Struthio camelus: one gene and its partners. The protein of the gene in region 3 interacts with the protein of the main gene of each other region in a biochemical or structural test. Links are inferred from orthologs where the notes say so. Each region holds a gene or a part of one and is shown on either strand. Other genes may lie near its edges.

The links.
Region 1: the proteins of PEX5 (region 3) and DDO form a complex in vitro, tested with the Homo sapiens proteins (2 studies listed by BioGRID, with this or other methods). The link is inferred for Struthio camelus from reciprocal best matches to the Homo sapiens genes PEX5 and DDO.
Region 2: the proteins of PEX5 (region 3) and PEX7 form a complex in vitro, tested with the Homo sapiens proteins (3 studies listed by BioGRID). The link is inferred for Struthio camelus from reciprocal best matches to the Homo sapiens genes PEX5 and PEX7.

What each region holds. Positions count from the first base shown.
Region 1 is NC_090944.1:60,570,004-60,577,007, forward strand, and holds the start of DDO (D-aspartate oxidase), read right to left. Parts: upstream 3,011-7,004; 5' UTR 2,739-3,010; intron 1,687-2,738; exon of another isoform or gene 1,401-1,686; intron 1,015-1,400; exon of another isoform or gene 630-1,014; 5' UTR 508-629; intron 1-507. UniProt on the Homo sapiens protein: Selectively catalyzes the oxidative deamination of acidic amino acids. Suppresses the level of D-aspartate in the brain, an amino acid that can act as an agonist for glutamate receptors. Protects the organism from the toxicity of D-amino acids.
Region 2 is NC_090944.1:74,137,276-74,144,292, reverse strand, and holds the start of PEX7 (peroxisomal biogenesis factor 7), read right to left. Parts: upstream 3,011-7,017; 5' UTR 2,952-3,010; coding exon 2,831-2,951; intron 1,373-2,830; coding exon 1,315-1,372; intron 157-1,314; coding exon 6-156; intron 1-5. UniProt on the Homo sapiens protein: Receptor required for the peroxisomal import of proteins containing a C-terminal PTS2-type peroxisomal targeting signal. Specifically binds to cargo proteins containing a PTS2 peroxisomal targeting signal in the cytosol.
Region 3 is NC_090942.1:90,422,109-90,429,968, reverse strand, and holds the start of PEX5 (peroxisomal biogenesis factor 5), read left to right. Parts: upstream 1-4,796; 5' UTR 4,797-4,908; intron 4,909-5,317; exon of another isoform or gene 5,318-5,413; 5' UTR 5,414-5,438; coding exon 5,439-5,588; intron 5,589-5,950; coding exon 5,951-5,986; intron 5,987-6,159; coding exon 6,160-6,292; intron 6,293-6,926; coding exon 6,927-7,061; intron 7,062-7,860.

The DNA of each region.
Region 1 (7,004 bases), on a different chromosome or scaffold from region 3:
CGTCGTTACAGCCCCTGTTCTCCCTCTCAGGGCAACGCTTAAGAGTCTTCCTGTTAATTATTCTATCTTCGGCTGCAAGCCAGCTATGAAAGTGCCCACGCAGCAGAGAAAAAGGGCACTGCACTGGGGTAAAGATGAACCCTGCACCAAAACCTTGGACCTGTATTGCTGCCACCCAGAAACCCAATCTGCAAAAATACTGATTCGAACGTCAGCTTCGTCTCTCAGCTCAGCCACTGCCCCAGAGCCTCCTAGACGAGGCACTGCTTGAACCAACTGCAAAAGGAATTTCTACAGAATGTCAGAGTGGTTCCCGTTTGGCAGGTCATGCGGTTTGTACTTCTCTCCCGCATTCTCCAAAATATTTTGCACTAGTCTTTTTATTTAGAAACAGAACAAGAAAAAAAAGTAACCGAAAATGAGGGGAGTTTTAATTCAGAAATTGCTTTGGTTAAAGAAGTAGGTTCTGAAAAAAAGTGTCTCACAGCATTGTAATTAACAACAAACCGTTTCGTTCACCACTGGCAGCTGTAGTGGAAATTGTATGCCGCTCTCTGCATGCCCACCGAGTACTTTCACAGCCTCAGAGCAATCCGGGGATGAACCCAGTCCTGCTTCGTCAGCCGCCCCTGGGACATACATGACGGACACGTTATTCATCTGCCAAAGACCCAGGCTTAGTTGCCCCTCACCTCTCTTGTTTGACGCTCGCTGAAGCCCTCGGCCCACGATGGAGATCGGATTTCCCGACTGACCTCCCACGGCCACCCACAACTCACAACTGAAAAACTAACCAGCCCTTTTTTTCCTAGTGCTTACTGCTGCTGTACAGGGGCAAATCAGGCCTTAACCTCCTAATATGCCAAAAACTGGTGCCAAACAGAGGCTAGAGGCTACCCAGCTTGTATAAGCAAGCAGAGTGGGTTTTACAGAGCTAACAACACGGCAATGAGAGTAAGAGTTACCTGCGCTCGTGCGGCTGGCAGCACAGCCGTCTTGGCAGGGGCTGTGGACCTACCCGAGGAGGCACATGAGGATAGCCTATTTTTATCCCATGTGGCATGCCAGCTCAATCCTAGTTGGCAAGTCTCACCACCCTCACCCCCACCCCCCACCCAGGCTGGCTTTTGCTGAGAGTTTTGCAAAAATCGATATTAAAAAGCAAAACCAGTTGCAGCAACCAGGGTTTTGGCGGGAGGGTGGGGGGAGCTAGGTGCCGCTTAGCTCTTTGCCCGTTCTTGGCGCCAGAAGATTGGGACCGAAACCAAGAAGAGCGAGGAGGAGTCAGAGGCACAGGCGATTCCCCAGCAAAGCGGCTACCAACTCCCCGCCGCAGGCTGCACGGCCCCTGCCCCCCTCCTGCCCCTCCAAGGCCAGAATGATATTCTCGGTAAAAATACCGTGGTATTTCGTGGTGTGACTCAGTCTTCCAGCTCTTGCAGGCGGTGAGACAAGCTCAGCCGTGTGTGACGACCCGTGGAGGGCCTAAACTGCAGCTTTTCAAACGAGATCTGTTCTTTTTCCTTTCTTAGCTCCCGCGTCGCCCGAGCACCGCTAGCCGCCCCAGTTAGCCTCGTTTTAGCGGTGGATAAAATGATTAATACGGCTACGTGCCCAGGTGCCCGGCCCTTTGGCCAGCTGTCTGGGCGGGCTGCCTCTTCAGCGGTCTCTCCGGCTCAGACAGACCTGGGAAACAGGCATCCCTCAGCCCGAAGAGGGATGCCTCAGCCTAAAGCTTTTGCTGTGACAGCTTTGCTTTACCGGCACGGCCCCCTCGCCGTGGCCTGTTCTCCATGTGGCTGCCTCCCCCGGCAGACTGACCTCTGTCAGCGTGCCTGACAGCCCGGCCCGGGGACCAGGCCGAAAAAACATGCTTACACTCTTTTTTGGCAGATCACTGGTAGATTTATCTACCTCCGCGTTTTACCAGCCCCCTCGGCTTTGCTCCCCGTTGCCTGACCCAGCGAGCTGAGGGGGGCTGACGCCTCTTCGTCGCGGGCCGGAGGCAAAGACACCCCCTTCCCCGAGCGAGGGGCGCCGCAGGGCGGGAAGCTGTCCGGGACCCTCCTCAGCCTTCCCGCTGGGTCCACGCACGCTCCCAGCACCGCCACCTGCATCTGAGCCGCTTGTAGGGGAGAGTCCGAGGCTACCGGGGAGGCCTCCAGCTCCTCGGCCTCTCCTCCTCACACGCTTTGAGGTAGCTGGTCCCAGCAGCGTGCTTGGGAAATGCCTGTTAAAGCAAGGAAGGTTGTGCCCGCGCTGTTGGTTATGAGCGGCAGTAACCTCGGCCGCAGCAGGCCCCCGAGCCAAGCGGTGCTCTTGCTTCTGCCCGGGCAAGGAAAACTTGTTTTCCATTTCTGTTCGGCCGAGAGCAAAAAGCGCAGAGGGAGCTGAGGCTTATCGCGCCTCTGAGCTCCCTCCCAAACGCCAGGGGTTTCACACCCTCTGCCGAGCGCTGCCACCGAGCAAGTTGTGCCGTAACGAGCTTTTGCTGCGCGGCCGGCCTCCGCGCGCGGCCTAAACCCCTCCTCGCACGGGCTTCGGGAGCTGTTCTGCATCCTGCCGAAAAGTCCTAGCACAGCGCTGGAGCCCTGCACGGCCCCCGTGGGCGCCTCACCCGCCGCGCAGAGCCAGAGGACCCCCCCGCGCCCTGATTTCCCACGGCGAGCGGGAGGGAGCTGGAATGAGATACTGAAAAACAAAAAAAGTTGGGGGTGGGAGGGAGAGAAGGGAAATACCTGGTGAGGGAAAGAGACCGGGCGGTGCCTGGAAGTGCTGCCGTCCCGGGAAGCGCAGGGCGGCCGAGCGGGACGGGGAGGGAGCGCTGCTGGTGGGGAGGAGCGCGGGGCTGCCCGGCACCGACCCCGCCGCGCTGGCTGCTCCCCGGACGCCCGCCCTCCTCGTTCCCTGCCGCTGATGAAGGAGCTGCTTGTGCCCGGGCAAAGGCCGCCGGAGCTGGCGCATCTCCCGGGAGAGCCAGGCAGCCGGCAGCCGGCTGCGGCTCTGCCCTGCTTCACCCACCGCTGATTTCCTTTTTTTCTTGGTGATTTTCCTGCAGAGTTCATTTTCTCTTCTCCTCGCTCCCGAGCAACTGATCATGTTCCTAATGTTTCTGAGGTTGCGCTGGGGTTGCCCAAATACCCGAGTAATCATGGTGGTAATCAGGATCTTAATAGCGCAGCGTATCTGCAGGCCTGTTTTTAGTCATCCCAGTTGGATGAAGAACAAGTCCCTGCTAAGTGGCAAAGGACTAGTGAGCCTGGCTAGTCAGGCTGCTTTTGATTAATCTTCTTCACCAGAAAACACAAGTTTGTCAAAAAATAAAGCTGCTTGCAGGATCACTGGGATTTTGATGAAACTGTATACCAGGGGTTTTCAGCTCCAGGACACAATTTCCTCATGGGAAGAGTTCACTTTCTCGCGGGTAATAACTGGTCCAGCTTAATCTCATATGCCTGGGGACTCATGGGCACAGAGCCAAACATTTGCCAAAATGGTTTGAGGACCATAATTTCATTAGTCAGAGCCTTACTTTGTCCTGTGATACGGCAGCTCTGTGTCTTACAGATGAGACAGGGTTTGCTTCGTGCAGACCCACCTCCAGAACTGATATTCCCTTTCTGGCACGACATTTCGGCTAATAATTGCCTGCCGTAGCACTAGGCCTTGAACAGATGCAGGACGGCTCAGGTGTTTGGAAACTGCTCTGCCCTCGCCCTGTCAAACAGTATTTGCCAGGAACCTGCCAAACAGGCCTTTTTTTCACAGGCATTTCAACGAAGAGCAGGCAGCTGCCCAGACAGCATCTGTACGTGCAACCACCAGCAGGACTAAGGACACGCCAGCTGTGTGCGCAGCACCTGAGGAATCATTCTCGCCTCCCGAATGTCTACACGCCTACAGAGCTCGATCCTACAAAAAGAGCGCAAATCCTGCAAAGCCACAACTTAGCAGACTTTCGTTTGAGCATCCAAGAGCTGCTACAAGATAAGGAATCCAATGTGTACGAACTTCTTTCCCGTTTGGAAGATTTGAGCACATAAAATATTTTTAACTCTTCAAAGAATCTAGCTGTGTTCTTAAATGGAAAAACTAAAGACCAGGTTTATTATAGCTATGCTAATCGCTGACCTTTTTCGATGCATAGTTCCTGTGGCTTTTTTTTCTCTGTAATAGTGAAGTAAATGAGGAATAATTCTGCCAGAGTAACTGTATAGCTTGATTTCTCTACAAGTTTTGAGAATGTAAGAAAACAGAGAACTGGTTAGATAGGGAAGGAGGCAGAAAGAAAGGCAAAGGTTGGTTTGCTTTAAAGTGAAAAAGCTGATGGGCGTGAGGCATTTATGGCAAAATGCACACTATTTTAAGTGACTGCAGGATGTCTATAATTTTGGAGAGGAACCTTTCAGATTCGGAAACCTCTCCTCCCTCAAACACAAACAGAGGTCACAGTGCCAGCTAAGTTTAAAACTGCCTGCTGTTTTTCATTCTGATACTCTATTTCTAGTTGCTTATAACTTTGCCAAACTTGAAGGATTCGGATTGAAAACCTTTGTGTCAGATGTTTACGCAAGGCCCGAAAGTTTTGGGGGATTCCCGGTGTATCGTTTCCTGAGAAGGAGACCCAGCAAACAAGCTGATTTGCCCATGTGATACCAACTCTTGTGGCCGTTTCATAGAGAAGCTCTTACTCTTCCGTGTGCTAAAGTCTTTTGGAACACACTGTGCCTTACTGATGTTCCCATAACTAATGTACACCAGATTTTAGGATGAAGAGTTTTGTTTGTCCTCCCCTTCTATATAAGCTACATGTGTGATTTTCCATAACGAATGTTCATCTATGCAGACAGCTATGAAGAGAAGCAATTTCAAATTTCTAGAGCTACCGTTGTTTTTTGTATCTCTGTTCCTTACTAAAATGACCGGCACAATACAGTGCATCTTTGGTCTAACTCCCACAGCCCTGGCCCCTATGAACAGAAGATTAACAGAAGTCATTCTGTACCGAGGCCTTCAAGGCATGACCAGTTTTTGCTATAGATGTCAGCACTTTCTCCTAAAAGATGGGAAAAAAGCACAAGAGGGGACATGTCTTTGCTCCACATAATACCCCAACTGCTTAAGACCCCCAGGATGTTTGTGGATGCATTATTCTGTGTATTGTGCACCGTATGTAATTTTGAATTAACGAATAATTGGCTAAATAGCACTCCAAGTACAACATTCACCCTATTTATATCTCAAGAATGCCCCTGCCAGGTTTTGTGATAGTGGCTATTGTATCTTTTGACTAAGTGCAACTCCTGGATTGGCCAGGCAGGAAGAGATAGGCAGGCATCTGGCATAAATCAAACACGGCACTGACAGAACTTGGAGGCGTTTCTGAACGGTAACGCGTGGTGGCAGAGCATCTCAGCACACCACTAACCCAGCCAGGGCAGCGCTTCAGAAAGGCTCCCTTTTAACTTAGGACTCCCTTTTCTTTCTGTATGCTTTTGAAAAAAGCAGTAGCAATAACCAGAAATGACCTATATGAACATCACGGTACAAACCTGTTTCTGATCTTATGAATGGCATGGATCCCTTCTCCATCGCTTCTTCCTTAACCAGTTCCAAGTGAAGGAAGTGAAGCATCGTTGTCCATGGCAAGTTATCATTTCAGCAGAGAAGCTACACTGCACCTCATTTTACTGTTTTCTCATGACTCCCGAGGGAATCCTCTCAATACAGAGAAAGATATTGGCAATACTGACATGCCTATTGAAAAGCTTTGTGAAAATATGTACTCAGAGGTTGCCCATATATCCTTGATATTTTTGCTATGATAATGAGCAATTCAGTCAAAACTGCTTTTGATTCTCATCAGCAGCAATGAGACCTCGGAGAGAGTCTGCATTCGAATTGCTCCTTGGTGCTAAGTTTTTTCTTAGTCCTGTGCAAGTCAGTCCTTGTACATATGAAATATTATGAGGCAACATGAGTAACTAGATGCCTGTGAATTCTCCATGGTTGGATTCTACTTATTTGCAACAGACACCTGAGCGTTATCCAAGCCTGTGTGTTAGACAAGAATGCAGAGAAGTGCTGGTTTGTCACTAAATGAGATATTTCTCATTACTTCTGGTTAACCACAATCTTTGTGCATTTAAAATAAAAAGCTAGTGATTTCTTTGAAAGAGCTGTTTTCTGTATACATCTCTTTGCAATCATATTAATACATCAATCATATTAAGAAAAGGATGTGAGTTTTAGTTAAGCTTTGATTTTTCTCAACTTGATTGAACCCGCTGCTCCTGAAATTAGTATCAGGAATTATTCAAATTTCTCACCTTTAACAAACAAATAGTTGAACTGGCTTTCGGTGAGTTATTCTTAACATCTTTCATCTTCTACACACTATTTCTCATAACAAAACCTTCCACTATGGTTGGACCTTCCACCTTTAGAGTTGAACCTAAAGCACCTCGCAAGGATGCATAAACCAGACCCTCCTTTTTGCAGCCACCAACACCTTGCATTTTGTAAGCGCACAGGTCTTGCATGCTGCAGAGCGCAACCCTAAGCCGCTTCGTGTTAAGGGTTTAGCCCGGGGCTGGGATGTCAGACAGTCTCCCGTTTCCACAGAGCACAAAGCCTCTCAGCCTTCAGGCGCCGTTCCCTCCCTTGTTCAGACATTCAGGGTACTGACTGTGCACGCAGTTTGCATAGCTGTTTTTCCTACACAGTTGATTAAACTATAGAAATTTAAACAAAGAAATTAAGGTCAGAACTGGAGTAGGAAATATGTCTTTGTTAGCAAAGTTTTAAAATACAGTAGATCCAAAATATCACACATGTTTACTATTTTTCTTTAGTTAGCATTAAGGTAATAATAATTGCTCTCCTTCCCATTATTTAACCCAGAAAGTAGGCCCATGACAAACTGCAAGTCTGTCTAATAAAATTTAGTATCAATTTTAGGACAAAAACGTTTATCATTGCAGCAATAATGTAATAATAACCAG
Region 2 (7,017 bases), on a different chromosome or scaffold from region 3:
TTTACCTCCTGAGTGTGCTCTTTATAGACTTGCAGTGGACCTGTGGTTTTAGCGGTATCCCAGATTTGCAGAGATCCATCCCCACTAGAAGTGATGAGCACATGTTCATTATTCTCACTCCACGTCACATCAAATAGACCATCATTCCAGTCAAAACTAAATCAGAACAATCAAGATATTTGTCCATGAGAAAGCGTGACATAAACGTCTGGATAGTTATATGCAGAGACAGTATTTCTTTAAATCACCCTCTTTAGCATTCTAAACATCCTTTTTAAAATATTTGATTTTCCAGTGAATCTCCTTACAAGTAACTTAGTTAATACCATGAAAACTTTTACAAGTGTATGTCAGAATAGGCTGATTAGGTTAAAAGCATAAATGACCCATGGATCTTCAACACAGAGAAACAAATCTGATTGTAATCTTGAATTTTAATAACAGTGGTAAACAAAGAAATAAAAATGTCTGTTTTGGAAAAGCTCTGTCCAATCCAGAACATCAATAAGAAGCTGAGTCAAAATGAAAAGCCAGCAGAAGGACAGTTATGAACATTTTAAAGATCTCCCTACACCCTTAAAAGGGCTTTGACACACCAACAATTCATCCTATGGGGAAAAAAATACCACCCATCAGCTGCTTTGCAGTAACTGCCAATGACCACGCTGCTATCTCATGGTAAATATGAAGTTATTTACCCCGTTCTTACTGAAGGCTCAGCTAAGCTCAAGTTAACTTCATGGGACCCTGCAGCAATTATTAGGAAAAAGCATGCACACCAAAAGTTTCTGTAGAGAGCATGACATAGCTCATGGCTCAGAAAATGACAGGACTTTCTACCACAAAGTAAGTGGAGTCTCTGGAAACATTGAAATGAACATTACTAAACCAGAGCATGTAGCAGAACTAATCGAGTGTTTAACAGCTGCAAATAGGCTTGCTGTATAATTATGAATTTAAAATTGCTTCTCTGAACATGATAAACTACATCATTGTTTGTTACATGTGTCTATTTCAGCTGTCAGAGTAAACTAAACAAATGGTGTTTTACACTTTAAGACATTTTTAAGTGAACAATGGCCGAGTATTAAACCCCCTCCCTCCTAACCTTTCTACTCCTTCTCCCATCCAGAACGCAAGTCAAATTCTTAGAATACCATAGCTCCTAGAAAGCACCTGAATGACTTTGCCCATGCACTTTCTGCTCCATTTCCAATACAGCCATTCAGAAGCGGACAAATTTAGGTGGCAAGGCATTGCTCCTAAAAAGCTAAAACTTCTACTTTCAAGCTAGTAAAAATAAACTTATGTTACCTTCTGAGCAGAACAATCCCAGCTTCATTTTGTTCCAGTACTACCAGAGTTCCACAACCTAAAACAACAAAATAAAACAAATTATCACAATTAATTCCCCCATGCCAGTAGAAGCTAGTGTTCTGGGGTAGTTATACAGTGCAAACATGGATGGCATTTGAATTTCTTTACACCTACAACTAATTGCTTCTGCCATTAACAGCTCCTTTTCTCTGCTTTATGCCTCTAAAATATTTTTTCATTTATATTTTTTTCTCCCAGTACATCTGTGGGTAAGGTTGGAAAAGAAACAACTCACTTGTAAAGAAAGCATAAAACGTGTGTTTCATCCACATGCCTTATGTTACAAGCACACCAGGATGGTGCTCCTTTAGATCTTTTGACAACACAACAAATGCAACACTTTTCTCCCTCTCTCTCTGAAAAGGGTACTTGGTAATACAAATGCAGCTCATCAAAAATAAAATGAAGAATTCAGTTCTAAGAAAATACACACAGGCACTATTCTTCTATGTGACCGGGATAACATCAAAGTAACATTTAGAAGCTTTAGTTAAAATTATCGCTTTTAGAGACAATACTGCTAGAAGAAATGAAAAGGGGTCCAATACTGCAAAAAGCTCAGCTTGGGTTTTCAGCAGGGCTGCAGAGAGCTGCCAGGCCTTGCCCGAACAACTCAATGACTGAGAACAGAATAATTAAAGTTTTAAGGAGAAAATATTTTCAGATACTTTATTTAACCTATGTTTGTCTCCTCTACTATGCATTTACTCCAACTCCTATGAAATCAGTACTCCTCTGAGAAGTTATTATTAGAAGTAAAAAAAAAAAAAAAGGAAAAAGAAGACTTTTTTTTTAAAAAAGTTGTTTTCTATTTTCTTAAGTAGGAAAACCTAGCTGGTGGGCGACTTCGGGGCAAGCATCAGATTTGCAGCTTGTTCTGAAATTAACTGTACTCCACGGAAAGAGAACAGATGCATCAGTTACATCCACGCGAAGCAAAAACAAGAGAAAGGGAAAACATAAAATGCTTCGCAAGCCACTTGCTACACGTGCAGACACACAGGCGCGCAGTTCACGGACTGCCGGTCTCTGAAGGCAGCAAACGTTTGCATGGCTCTTCAGCTCACAGCTCGTGAGCGCGCGGGCCACCCGCTTCACGGCAATCACTGCAGAGAAGCCTGACCTGCTCTTCAGACGTAATTACCGTAATAAAGGAAGACCTTGTGTCTGATAAACAGTAGAACAGCAACCGACCCAAGCCTTGCTGCTTCCAGTTAAGCAGAGCGGCCAACCACCACCGCAAGGCGAGCGCGGCAGCGACGGCCGCCCCCGCCCTGACGCTTCGAGAGGGCGAAACGACTCGACGCAAGCGGTCTCGCCCGCAGGTAACCAGGCCAGACCACTTCTTCCGTTGCTGTTGCTGTTGTTCTTCATTACGTAACAGCGCCGGAAACGCAACCCGCGCACCGCCGGGCGGACAGCCCCGCCGGCGCCCCCCCGGCCCGCCTCTCACCTGCGATGCCGTAGTACTGCGCGGCGGCGCACGCCACGCGCCCCGGCCAGTAGGGCGAGAACTCCGCCGCGTAGCCGTGCAGCCCCGGCAGCCGCAGGGCCCGGCCGCCCGGCGCCCCCATGGCCCGGCCTGTCGCCCCCCCCGGCCCAGGCGGGGACGGAAGGAGGCGCCGCCGCGCCGCGCCGCGCCGCCTCGCCGCGCCCGCGCCGCCCGGCTGGAAGCGCGGGGGCGGCGCTGAGGCCACGCCGCCGCCATCTTTGGTGCTGGCAGGGGCGGTGGCGGAGGCGGGCGGGCCGTGACGCTGCCGCCGCCTCCTGGCGCCGCTCCTCGGGGTCCTCTCGGGGCCGGCCGGGTCGTGTCCGCGGTGGCCCGTGTCCGCTGCGGCTTTCTTCTCGGGTCTCTTCAAAGACAAGCCGTAATTTTAGGCCGTCCTACTCGCTACTACCGCGCAGTGACAGCTATGCCTGCGTGATTCATGTACTCAAAGGTCGTTTGACCAGGACCAGGCCTCCGAGCGCTGACTACCCATTGTTTTGTGATAATTCTGTAAAACTATGTTTGCTAGAGAAAAAGATTTCCAAACTGCGTGGACAGTCCTTTCTTTTATACGCCATGTAAGATACTTAGCACCTCGTTCTCTGTTTGAATAAATGTGATTTTTTGATCTTAGTGGGTATATTGTCATTCTTTCAAAAAGCTCTTCCAAGCTATTTCAGTCTGTCATTTGCTGAGTAGATCTCCGTATATCAGTATGCATGTATTTATCATTCTTTGTTGTGAGGCAGTTACGCTTTATTGAGGTTCTTTCATGAACAAACAAACAAATTTTCTCATACCGATGACAACTTCTATTAAGCTAGTGGGAGTTTTGCCTCTGAAAGGAGGAGGGGTTCGGGCTAAGAAAAATATTTGAGCAGAGCAGCAGCTGCAACTTCTGATATATCTTATCCTATGTGAGATATAGGACTTTAAAATATTCATGGAGATGATTCCAATTGGACATAGGCTACCCTAATAAGTTAAAATGACCAATTTAAATGTGTAGAGATGAATACAGGAAATTCTTATTTTACACATGAAGGAAGTAAGACAAAGGGGAATAAGACAATTTAATCAGAGTCACCTCGTGGAGCTTGGAAGGTAACTACATACTCAGGCTGCTCCTCAGCCTTAAATTTAAACTACAAAACCTATTGTAAACTACAAAATTTATTGTAAAGCCTCATGAATATATAACTCCTTAAACTGACACTCACGTTCCGATCACTGAACTATGCGGTTTTACTAATTATTTGATCTCCTGATAAAAATGAAAACAAATATGTTTATCAAACAGCCTCCAGGATTTTAGAATAAAATCAATCCAAACAGTGCAAGTGAAGCTCAATGTAGCATATCATTGTGCTTATAGTAAGCACAAAAGCTCACAGCAGCTCCTATACTCACAACTACCAATTTGTAGATGGAATTACTGAGAGACATCATTTGAGATGAGTTTTTTTTTAACACTCAAGCAGAGTTTTTTTTTAACACTCAAACACAATGCCTTATTGAATTGACTGCTGCAGGCCGAATTCCACCAACTTTAGCCTCTGCGAAATCTTTTTAAATCAATGTGCCTTTTGGAAGCACACATCACAAGGCAATTTCCTTGGCAGGTGTTTTTAAAGTAATTGTCTTTTGTGACTGCAAAGTCAATAATACCATTCAAAAAGATATATACCCTCTGCAGTGGTATACTAAGTAAATCTGGACGTGGCCTTTTGCAAAGGTTTGCTCTGAGTTCAAGTACTCGGTGGCGTAATCTCCAGCTACTCTATGGACAAGTTACCACGCATACATCCAAGTATTGGAAAAGTTTCATCGTGTGCATTTTCAAAGTAGCCGACAAATCTAGTTCATCTTTTAGAATCAATAAAATTCCACAAAGAGGTTATGCAAGCAGGAAGCTGTCCTTACGACTGGCACAGCTCTGTTTTAAAGACAACTCAGAAAAAAATTAGACACATATCAAGAAGTGGATAGAGGGTTACAAAGAAATCCTGAAAGAAGGACCTAGTTTGTTGTAACACTTCCCTAAACATTTTTTCACAGAAAAGCTTGTGAATTCAGGTTTTTAAGATCCCTAGAAGTAGGAAGCAAAATAATATGCCAAGTAAAAGTATTTACATAGGAAGACTTCAAGGCAGATACACTAACAACTGAAGAAAAAGCTGTTTGACAAGCAGAGAGAAAGATCCAACAAACAAAACTGCTAAACGTGACTGTATTTCCTCCTGAAACAGGTGAGCTAAATTCAAGAAACATGAAAGATGAGAACAGAAATGTTCCAACAGCCAGCCCTTCACCAAAGTTGAGATAAAAACGTGTATGCAGAATGCATCAGTAGGTGGCAGCCATGTTCCACTTAAAAATTGAGATCCCACAGTTCGAGAGAAAAATTCCCTCACAACGCTGAGATTTTTTTCCTAACTCAAGCGCACTTCATTGAACTAAATTCCCATTTAATCAGCATATAACTTTTAGTTACGTTCCTCCTGCAGTCACTTCTCTAAGCCATCTCCCTTGTTAGAGTTAGACTAGGTAGTTGGGATGCTCACAGCAATATCTCTGCACGCAGTTTACCTTCTTCCCAGTCTGCTGAGCTCTGTTCTGTTACAGACATATCTCCACCATTTCCTCAGCTTGCTCACTGACAGCTAGCTTAGGTGTGAGTTGAGCTGGTAACGATCACTGCTGTATATACAAATCCTTAAAAAAAACCTCGCTGGTTGCCAGAAACAGTTATCAGGAAGGCACTAGTCCAAGTACTGAAAGGAATTATGACGAGAGTTTTTCTTCCGGAGAAAGCAGGTTGTGAACTATTCCCTTAGCTGTGAGGATAGGTGGTTTAAAACATTAAGAATACTTAGGGACTGCAGGAGACTTTTTTTCTGCTTTCTAGTTACAGAGCCACTAGGTTGCATGCTATCAAGTTTCTTCTACGATAGTGAGTGCTAACTGACTAATAGGAATGTAGAGATTTTCCCAGGTGAAATTCCTGTGTAATCAATAGGGGCTATGAGTCAAAGCTTTAAGAAAAGCATTTAGTGTCTCAAGGTTCATGGTAAGATTGCAAAAATAGGCAAGAGTGAAAGTAAACAAGGGAAAGTTGGGGAAAGGGGAAAGCAAAGGAGGTTGCAGGAATGAATACAGAGTCACACGGGGAAAGCGAGGTTAGTAGAAGGACAAGGCAGTTAGCATGGACGCTGTCCTGGGGGATTTGAAAGAATAGAAGTAAGAAGAGGGAAACACATTGGAAGGGAGGAAGAAAGACAGGGAGATTTAGCAAGAAGCGTGAGACTTGCCACGGGCACATTTTTCACTACACTTGGTCTGTCGTTCCACAATACACGGGCTTCAAGGCCAGTAATAACTGATGAAATAGCCACCCCCCACCACGTGTCCTTGTTGCTCCATCAGTCTTAGCTGATTACCATTTGTGGGGGCCATGCCATCATTTGATAAGTGAATTTATCATGCTATTACTACTGTTACACGATCAACTGCATCCCTGCAGAATGACCACCAGTCTCTGTTTTCCAGCTTCTTAGTACTTAAGAACTGCTTTAAATGTTTAGTTCCATCCTGCATTTGCCATTCTTTTTAAACTTGGCAGCTGGCACTCTGCTAGCAAAATGCTGCCCTCTCCATATTGAACATAAAGGATACCTCTGATTTTCTACAGTGATATATTTAACTTTCATTTGGTAGAAGATTTAACTTTTAAGAACAATTTGTTTATTTCAGTGATCGTATCTATTTGCTTGTGAGAGTTCTGTTCTAAAGCTCATGGAAACAGGATTAGTTTGTGTACTTTCAAGATCTCTTGTTTGGATTTTTGCATCTGCAAGTTTCTTTATATACTCTGTTTTCCACCCACAATTCAAGCACATTGGACTCTGGTTTTGCAAACTCCTTTTTTCCTGCTTATTAGTGAAAAATTTACAGCGTATCTCTAATCTCTCATTTTTGTATGCTGTCGTATAGTTAAATAAGAGGGTCTTAAAATATGGATGAAATTTAGCATCTGCTTTAAAACCCAATAACCATCAAGAAAACTCAACGGGCATGTTACTCTAGAATCTTTTTTCTGCCAGCCTTGTTGGATGTTGAAGGCCGTATCACACTGAAAACGTAAGTCGGAC
Region 3 (7,860 bases):
CAAACTAGGAAGCATTGGAAAATAGGTAGATGAGTCTACTGAAAATACTGTTAGGAGAGTCTGATGCTGACTGCCCGCCTAATCTAAGATTAGTTTTTAATGATACATTGTCTAACAGGAAAAATGTGTCAAGAAGAAGGTCTGCACAGATCTGTCCTCAGAGTGGTACTACTTAATAGTTTCTTCAGTGATTTATTTAGTGGATTAGAAAGTGTGCCTATCAAATTTGCAGACAACACTAACCTGTGAAGGTTGCAATGAATTTGGAAGACAAGATCAGTATTCAAATGATCTTCCCAAATGGGAGATATGGCCTGAAAGAATAGAACACAATTTATAAGGCAAATGCGAAGTTCTACGCTTGGAAAGGAATAGGATGGAGAAAAGGCTAGGCAGAGACCTTCATCCTACATGACATTATAAGACAGGGAAATGGCTAGGCAGAGACCTCCAGTCTGTCAGTGGTCTCCATCAGGCTCAGGGCCTTCAGCAGGGTACGACCCTCAGACTGACAATGGCAGAGTGATGCAGAGCCCAGAACAGCCTTTTCTGGAACTGTACCATCTGCTTTCCTCACCTCTCCAAGAGTTACTGAGGTTCTTTTGATATTTTACTTCTCACTGCCAAAATATTTACACTTTGCACGCAAGGCCTCATTCGCTTTATTACTCTGTCTGCTGACTGTACAGAATCACAGAATAGCTGAGGTTGGAAGGGACCTCTGGAAATCATCTGGTCCAGCCCCCATGCTTAAGCAGGGTTAGCTAGAGTTGCCCAGGACTGTGCCCGGTCAGGTCTTGAATATTCCTAGGGATGGAGACCCCACAGCCTCTCTGGGTAACGTGCTCCAGTCTTCAACAACTCTCACAGTGAAAAAAGTGTTTTCTTATGTTCAGATGGAATTTCATGTGTTTCAGTTGGTGCCTATTGCCTTTTGTCCTGTCACTGGTCACCACTGAGAAGAATCTGGCTCCATCTTCTCTATGCTCTCCCTTCAGATATTTATACACATCAATAAGATCCGCCCCTCCCCCCCCCCCAGCGTTCTCTTCTCCAGGCTGAACAGTCCCAGCTTTCTCAACCTCTCCCTGTATGCCAGATATTCCAGTCCCTTAATCACCTCTGTGGCCCTTTGCTGGACTCACTCTGGTAAATCCATGTCTGTCTTGTACTGTGGAGCCCAGAACTGGACACAGTACTCCAGATGTGGCCTCACTAGTGCTGAGGAGAGGGGAAGGATCACCTCCCTCGATCTGCTGGCAATGCTCTTCCTAATGCAGTGCAGAATACTATTAGCCTTCTCTGCTGCAAGGGCACATTATTGGCTCATGCTCGCCTTGCTGTCCACTAGGATCCCCAGGTCCTTCTCTGCAAAGCTGCTCTCCAGCTGGTCAGCCCTCAGCCTGTACTAGTGCAATTCCTCTTCAGCTGCAGGACTTGCGCTTCCCTTTATTGAACTTCATGAGGTCTCTCTCTGCCCATTTCTCAAGCCTGCTGAGGTCCTTCTAAATGACAGAACAACCCTCTAGTGTATCAGCCAGTCCTCGCAGATTTGTGACACCTGCCAATGCGCTGAGGGTGCATTTGGTCCCATCATCCAAGTCATGAATAAAGATGTTAAACAGTATTAGACCCAGTATCAACCCCTGGGGGACACGACCAGTGACTGGCCTCCAGCTGAACTTCATGCTGCTGATCACAAGTTTCTGAGCTCGGCAGTTCAACCAGTTTTCAGTTCACCTCACTGACCACTTATTTGTTCTATCACCTTCCCGGGGATCAAGGTGAAGCTGACCAGCCTGTAGTTTCCCTGATCCTCCTTCTTGCCCTTCTTGAAGGTAGGGGGTGACATTTGCTTTCTTCCAGGCCTCTGGAACCTCTCTCGATCACCAAGACCTTTCAAAGATAATCAAGAGTGGCTTTGCAATGACATCAGCCTGCTCCTTCTGAACTTGCAGGTGCATCTCATCAGGGGCCAAGGACTTGTGTATATCCAGTTTGTTTAAGTGTTCTTTAATGTGATCCTCCTCCAGCAAGAGAGTCTCCCTTTCTCCAGACTTCTCCTCTGGTCTCAGGGGCTTGGGATTCCTAAGGGCCAGTCTTACCAGTAAGGACTGAGGCGAAGAAGGCATTCAGTACCTCTGCCTTTTTGGTGTCCTTTGTCACCAGTGCCTCTGTCTCCTTTAGTAGCGGGCCCAGATTTTCCCTAGCCTTCCTTTTGCTGCTTATGTACTTATAGAAGTCTTTTTGCCTTTCACGTCCCCTTCCAGCTTCAACTCTAGCTGGACTTTAGCTTTAGCTCTCTTAATCCCATCTCTGCCTGCTCATATAGTATCTTTGTATCCCTCCTCCAGCTTCCAGTTCTTGTACACTTCCTTTCTATGTTTGAGTTTAGTCAGGAGCTCCTTGTTCATCTATGCAGGTCTCCTGCTGCCTTTGCTTGATTTCCTGCTCATGGGGATGGACCATTCTTAAGCTTGGAGGAGGTGATCCTTGAATATCAACCGACTCTCTTGGACCCCTCTTTCCTCAGGGTTTTATTCCATGGGATTCTTCCAGGCATGTGTCTGAACAGACTGAAGTCTTCTCTCCTGACTTTAGATTGGACCTTTTGCTTTCTACCTTCTTATGCTTTCTGCAAACAGAAATAATTGTGGCTTCAGCAGGAAATTCACCCACCGACAGCTATAGCTGTCGTGGTCCTACATGCTTTGCCACTACTGCCACTTCTGATTCCTTTAGTTGCAGCACAGTCTCTTAGCGCTGAAAAGGATAAATGAGCATCTGACTTTTGTTCCTGGCTCTTTTGCTCTGGGTCTAAGACCCAGACAGCCTCACCCTGCAAGGTCTGTTCCTATTCCTTTTTGGGGGGGGGGGGGGGGAGAGGGGCAGCCACTCCTCACTCTCTAGCCTTAGGACAACGGCAAACCGTGTGATTGAAAGTCAAGCTGTGGAAGATACTTCTCCAAGGCCTCCTACAGGCTATCTTCAGACTGGTGCAAATGATACTGTCACATTTTCAGTAGATCAAAGGGTTTTAATGTTAGAACTGGTTCAGTGGTGTGCAGAGTCATAGTGCTGTTTTGCAGGAGTCTGGGTGTGCCTGAAGGGAGCCAAGAGCCAGGGAAAAGGCACTGTCTTCCCATGAGAAGAGAAAGATGGGAGGGCAAAAGAAGAGAGGCTGTATTTCTTTGTGTCTTGTTGCTACAGGCAGCAGAAATGAGAGCGGGTACATTTCCTATGGTGCCTGTTCTTGCTCTCCAGGCTGAGGAATGGAGGCAGTGATGCCATTCTTGTTGAGCTGTCTTTGCGTCTCCCTGCCCTAAACCAGTAAGACAGGCTGAACAGGTATCATAAGCTAGTGTCATGGATGCACCTCAAGATCCTGACACAAATGCTTATGAGTCAAAGCTGCTTCACCTGCAGTTCTTCACTGCTCCTTCACTTGCTTTTGGATTTTGCCCATGCCTTATTATCTCACTGCCTACACTCTTCCTATCTACAGCTTTGTTCAGTCTACTGTTTTCCCTAGGATCAGCACTGTCTCCATCTGTTTTTCTTAAACATAATTGAGGAGTCTCTCCAAAAGCCTCTTCCCTCTGTCTCTTTTCACAGGCTCTTACTGACCCTCGATCCTACTACACATGTATAGGAATAGCATTTTTTAATAGTTGGCAAGTCTTGTTTTTCATTCCAGGAGCTTCACACTGGAAGGACCAGGTTGGTCCTAGGTTGACTACAACTTGCAGGCAAGTAGAGAGCAATATCATAAGGCAGACATCTAGAAGAAAGAAATGTATTTCACCAGCTTTACATGACACATGCAGCCTAGGGCTCTATGTGTAAGAGCGGTCATGTCAATGGCTTTTCAAGTGTTGATGTCTTAATGCAGCTGCCTGCCAGATGTAGGGTGCTTCCTTCCACATTAGTGCCTGAACTGATGTCAGAAGCGGGCATTCAAAGTGAATCTTCCAGTCATCCTCACTTGCTGTGCTTTGGTTCATATTGCAGAACAGTCTCAGAGTGTGCAAACTAGACTCCTCTCAGAGGAAACTAAGCTAGTAGATGTGCCCTGAGAGCATACCTAATGCACTTCAAGCACTAATTGCTGTTCAGTCCATGGGGTCAGGGAAGAGATAATCCAAAGCAAACCGCTCAAACATGTTTGGTATAGATCTAGGCTCTCCAGCCCCAACTGTATCTCTGAAGAGATTTGTTTCCCTTGAACCATGCTGCTTGCCATAGACGTCATGTGAATTTCAAAGCTGTGAGGGGAGCAGTCAAGAAGATCTACTGCCAAGGAATACAGTGTCTAAAACAGCACTGGACATCAGCTTTTAGTCAGATGAACTGCATCTAGGAAGCGTGGCAGGGATGTTACAGAGGAACATATTCCTTTTGAGAAGGAGGAGACAGGATTTGATTCTTCAAATACTTTTTAAAGCACCCTAATGTCACAGGAGGCAGCATACATCGTGCAAACCCCTCTTCGTGGTTCTCCCTTTCTTTTAGAAGCTATGATTGTATCAGCTCCGATTTCTCCGGTGCTCTTCCTTTGGGATCACACATGTGGCAAAAGGGATGAAAACTTTTAAGGAGTTGACATTTCTATGGCTTATCTAATGGCTACTATGTATCTATGGCTACTACATACTTTTCAGCTAAATGCACAGTTTTTACCTGTTACCACCAGCTGCAATATTTTAGCGGCCCGAGAGCCTTGCCTCCCATCCTCCTCCCCGCCGGCCAGCACCGGCTGGGTGCAGACCTCGCGCTCGGAGCAGCCCCTGCGCGCCGGGAGCCGGCGGGGCACTGCCCCTTTAACGGGCGCCGCTGGTGCCTGCTCCTTTAAGGATTAGCCCCGCCCCGCCGTGCCCCGTGAGCGTCGCAAGCCCTGGCGGACCCACGGTAAGGCACTAGACGGGGGGAGCCCCCCGGGCCGCGCCATCCTGCCCGGGCGGCGCGGGGGGTCCCGCCGCCCGGGCTGGTGGCCCGGGAGGGACTGGCGGGCGGGCGGGCGGGGGCTGCGAGGCTGGGCGGGGGCGCTGCGGCCTTGCCACCCTGGCGAGGGGGCTCCTCTGGCGGGCGAGTCGAGGAAGAGAGGGAGGGGGGGAGACGCTGCCAGCCTGTGGGGCGCCGCTGCCCGGCAGCGGCAGGGCGCGGGGCTCCTGCGCGTCGCTGGTGACTGTGCCCGCCCGGGCTGCCCTCGGCCGAGCAGGCGCCGTGGCGGCCCGTCGCGGAGCCAGGGCTCTGCGCCAGGACCTGCCCCGGGGCGGGGGGGCCTGGCGCCCCCTCCCCCCCCCCCGCAGCTCACATGCTTCCGGCGCGACCGGGCCGGCCGGGCGGGGGCGGCGGCCGTAGCCATGTCGCTCACGGCGGGGCCTGCGCGCGTGTCGGTGTCGCCCGGCGCCAGGTGAGGCCCGGCGGGGTTTGGCGCCATGGCCATGAGGGAGCTGGTGGAACCGGAGTGCGGGAGCTCCAACGCCCTCATGAAGCTGGCCGGCCACTTCACGCAGGACAAAGCCTTGCGGCAGGAAGGACTCCAGGGCCCCCTGAGCTGGCCCGGGGGGGCCCCCGGCGCCGGAGCCGTGAGTGCCGCGGCGATGGGGCGGGCTGGGGCCTGCCCGCGGTGGGGGGCGGTGAGCGCGGAGTGGGGGCGTGCAGGCCGGAGGGACTCTGGGGGCCCTACTGGTTTTTTGGGGGGGATATGGATGGCTGCGGTGGACTGCGTGCCTTACTGCCGTGGGGGTCGGCCCAGAGCGGGAGCAGTTAGGCAAACATCGCTGGGGCTGTTTCTTCTCCTTCGGCTTCTGCGTAAGCAGGCAGGTAGTGCTAAGAAAGTGCTGCTAGCCTAACTTCGAGGAAGAGGAGGATGTGAATTTATCAGGCCTTGGTGTGTGAGGTGTACAGTGTCAAAGCTGTTGGGGTGATTGCCCACTGTTCCCTGCAGGTATCCAAACCGCTGGGAGTGGCCTCTGAAGATGAGGTAAGAACAGGCTGATATATTTCCTTACTACTTTTTCTCTTAACACTTCAGTTGATACTTTTTTTCTCTGTTTGTTCTTTCTTTCTACCTAGCCTGCTCCTTTCTCGCATGCTCCATTACTTTGCCTGTTTGTCTTCTGCACTATATTCACTCTCCATCTGTCTCTTTCGCAGTTGGTTGGAGAGTTCCTGCAAGAGCAGAATGCCCCTTTACTGTCCCGTGCACCCCAGACCTTTAAGATGGATGACCTGTTGGCTGAGATGCAGGAGATTGAGCAGTCAAACTTCCGACAGGCCCCTCAGCGAGGTGAGAGGCGCTGCAGTATGTGGAGAGCAGGAAAAGACCTTTGTAGTTTGGTTAGGCTCCCAGTAGGTTGGGTCCCCTCTATTCAGCACTTGTGAGATGATGTCAGGGGGCTGAAATACATGATGGAAGAGGAAAGGTTGAGGGAACTGTGTCTGTTCAGCTTGGAGAAGAGGATTCTAATTGCTAAGATGGGATCTAATTGCTGCCTTCAGCTACGTAATGGGGAGACAGAGCCAGAATCTTTGCAGTCATGTACAACAAAAGGACAAGAAGCAGTGGGGACGAGTTGTAAAAAGGGAAACTGTCTATAGATGTAAGGAAAAGTTTCTTTCCTTGGAGGATGATTCAGCACTGGAACAGGTACCCAGAAAGACCAGGGAATCGCCATCCTTGGAGATGTTCAGTAGTTGCCTGGACAAGCCCCTGAGCAACCTGATCCAGCTTTGGAGTTACCCTGCTGTGAGAAGACTGGAGACCTGCAGAGCTCCCTTTCAAGTGAAATCTTCCTGTGATTCTGGTCTAACAGAGAGAAAGGGACCTGATCAGAGAAGATGATGGCTATCTGAAGGAGCCTGAGACATTTAAATCATGTCTCTGAGTCCTCCCATCCTCATGTATGTTTTTCTTCCTGTAGCTCCAGGTGTGGCAGCCTTGGCGCTGTCTGAAAACTGGACCCAGGAGTTCTTGGCTCAGGCAGATGGCACTGGTGATGTCTCTTCAGACTACAACGAGGCTGACTGGTCACAGGAGTTCATAGCTGAAGTGACAGGTGACGACTCCCTTTTGGAAGTAAGGCTGAGGTGTTGCCCAGTCGCATGTTTTTGTACAGTGGAGAGTTAAGTTACTGGATATGAAATTGGAGTAACTGTTTGGGCCCAAGAAGTCAGTGTTTTTTGTAGTAGTGTGAACATGAAAAGAAGCTGCTTTGGAATAGCTTAGCCAAATTGCTCGCTATCCGGTGAGGATGCTCCTATTCAGGTGTAAGGGGCTTTTTTTTTTTTTTTTTTTTAGCCAGGATTACTTGCAAAACTTAGTAGAAGCAGGCTATTCAAACTGTTTTTATAAAAAAAAAAAAAAAAATATGATTCAAACCGCTGCAAATTCTGGAGGTGGGCTGGTACTGCTTCTTCTTGTTTATGTGTGTTTCTGACCCATAGGATAAGCTCTGTGTTCCAAGCAAGGTACTAGTTTATCTGAAAAGCCATCTTGCTTTGTGTACAGAGCTGTGACCATCTATGACCTAGCTTGGAAATGATGGGAACGATTTAAATAGATGCTATTCTCTTCCCCCAGGAGTAGCCACTGTAGAGAGCCAGGTAGACCCATTCACTCACCTTCTCTCTTTATATTCCTGGGAGTAGGTACCATAAAGCCTCAACGCTTGCTAGGGCCTGATGGAAAGCACTAGAGACTTGTAATAAATTGCTAATTTTCCTGACCTACATGGCATCTCACACAGAGCAACAGAGTAAATTGTGAAATTGAAGTAGGAAATCCTAAGGACGCTGGCATATTACTGCAGTGGCATCTCTCTGAGGAGACTCTCTGAACCCGAGGCTCGATTTTTG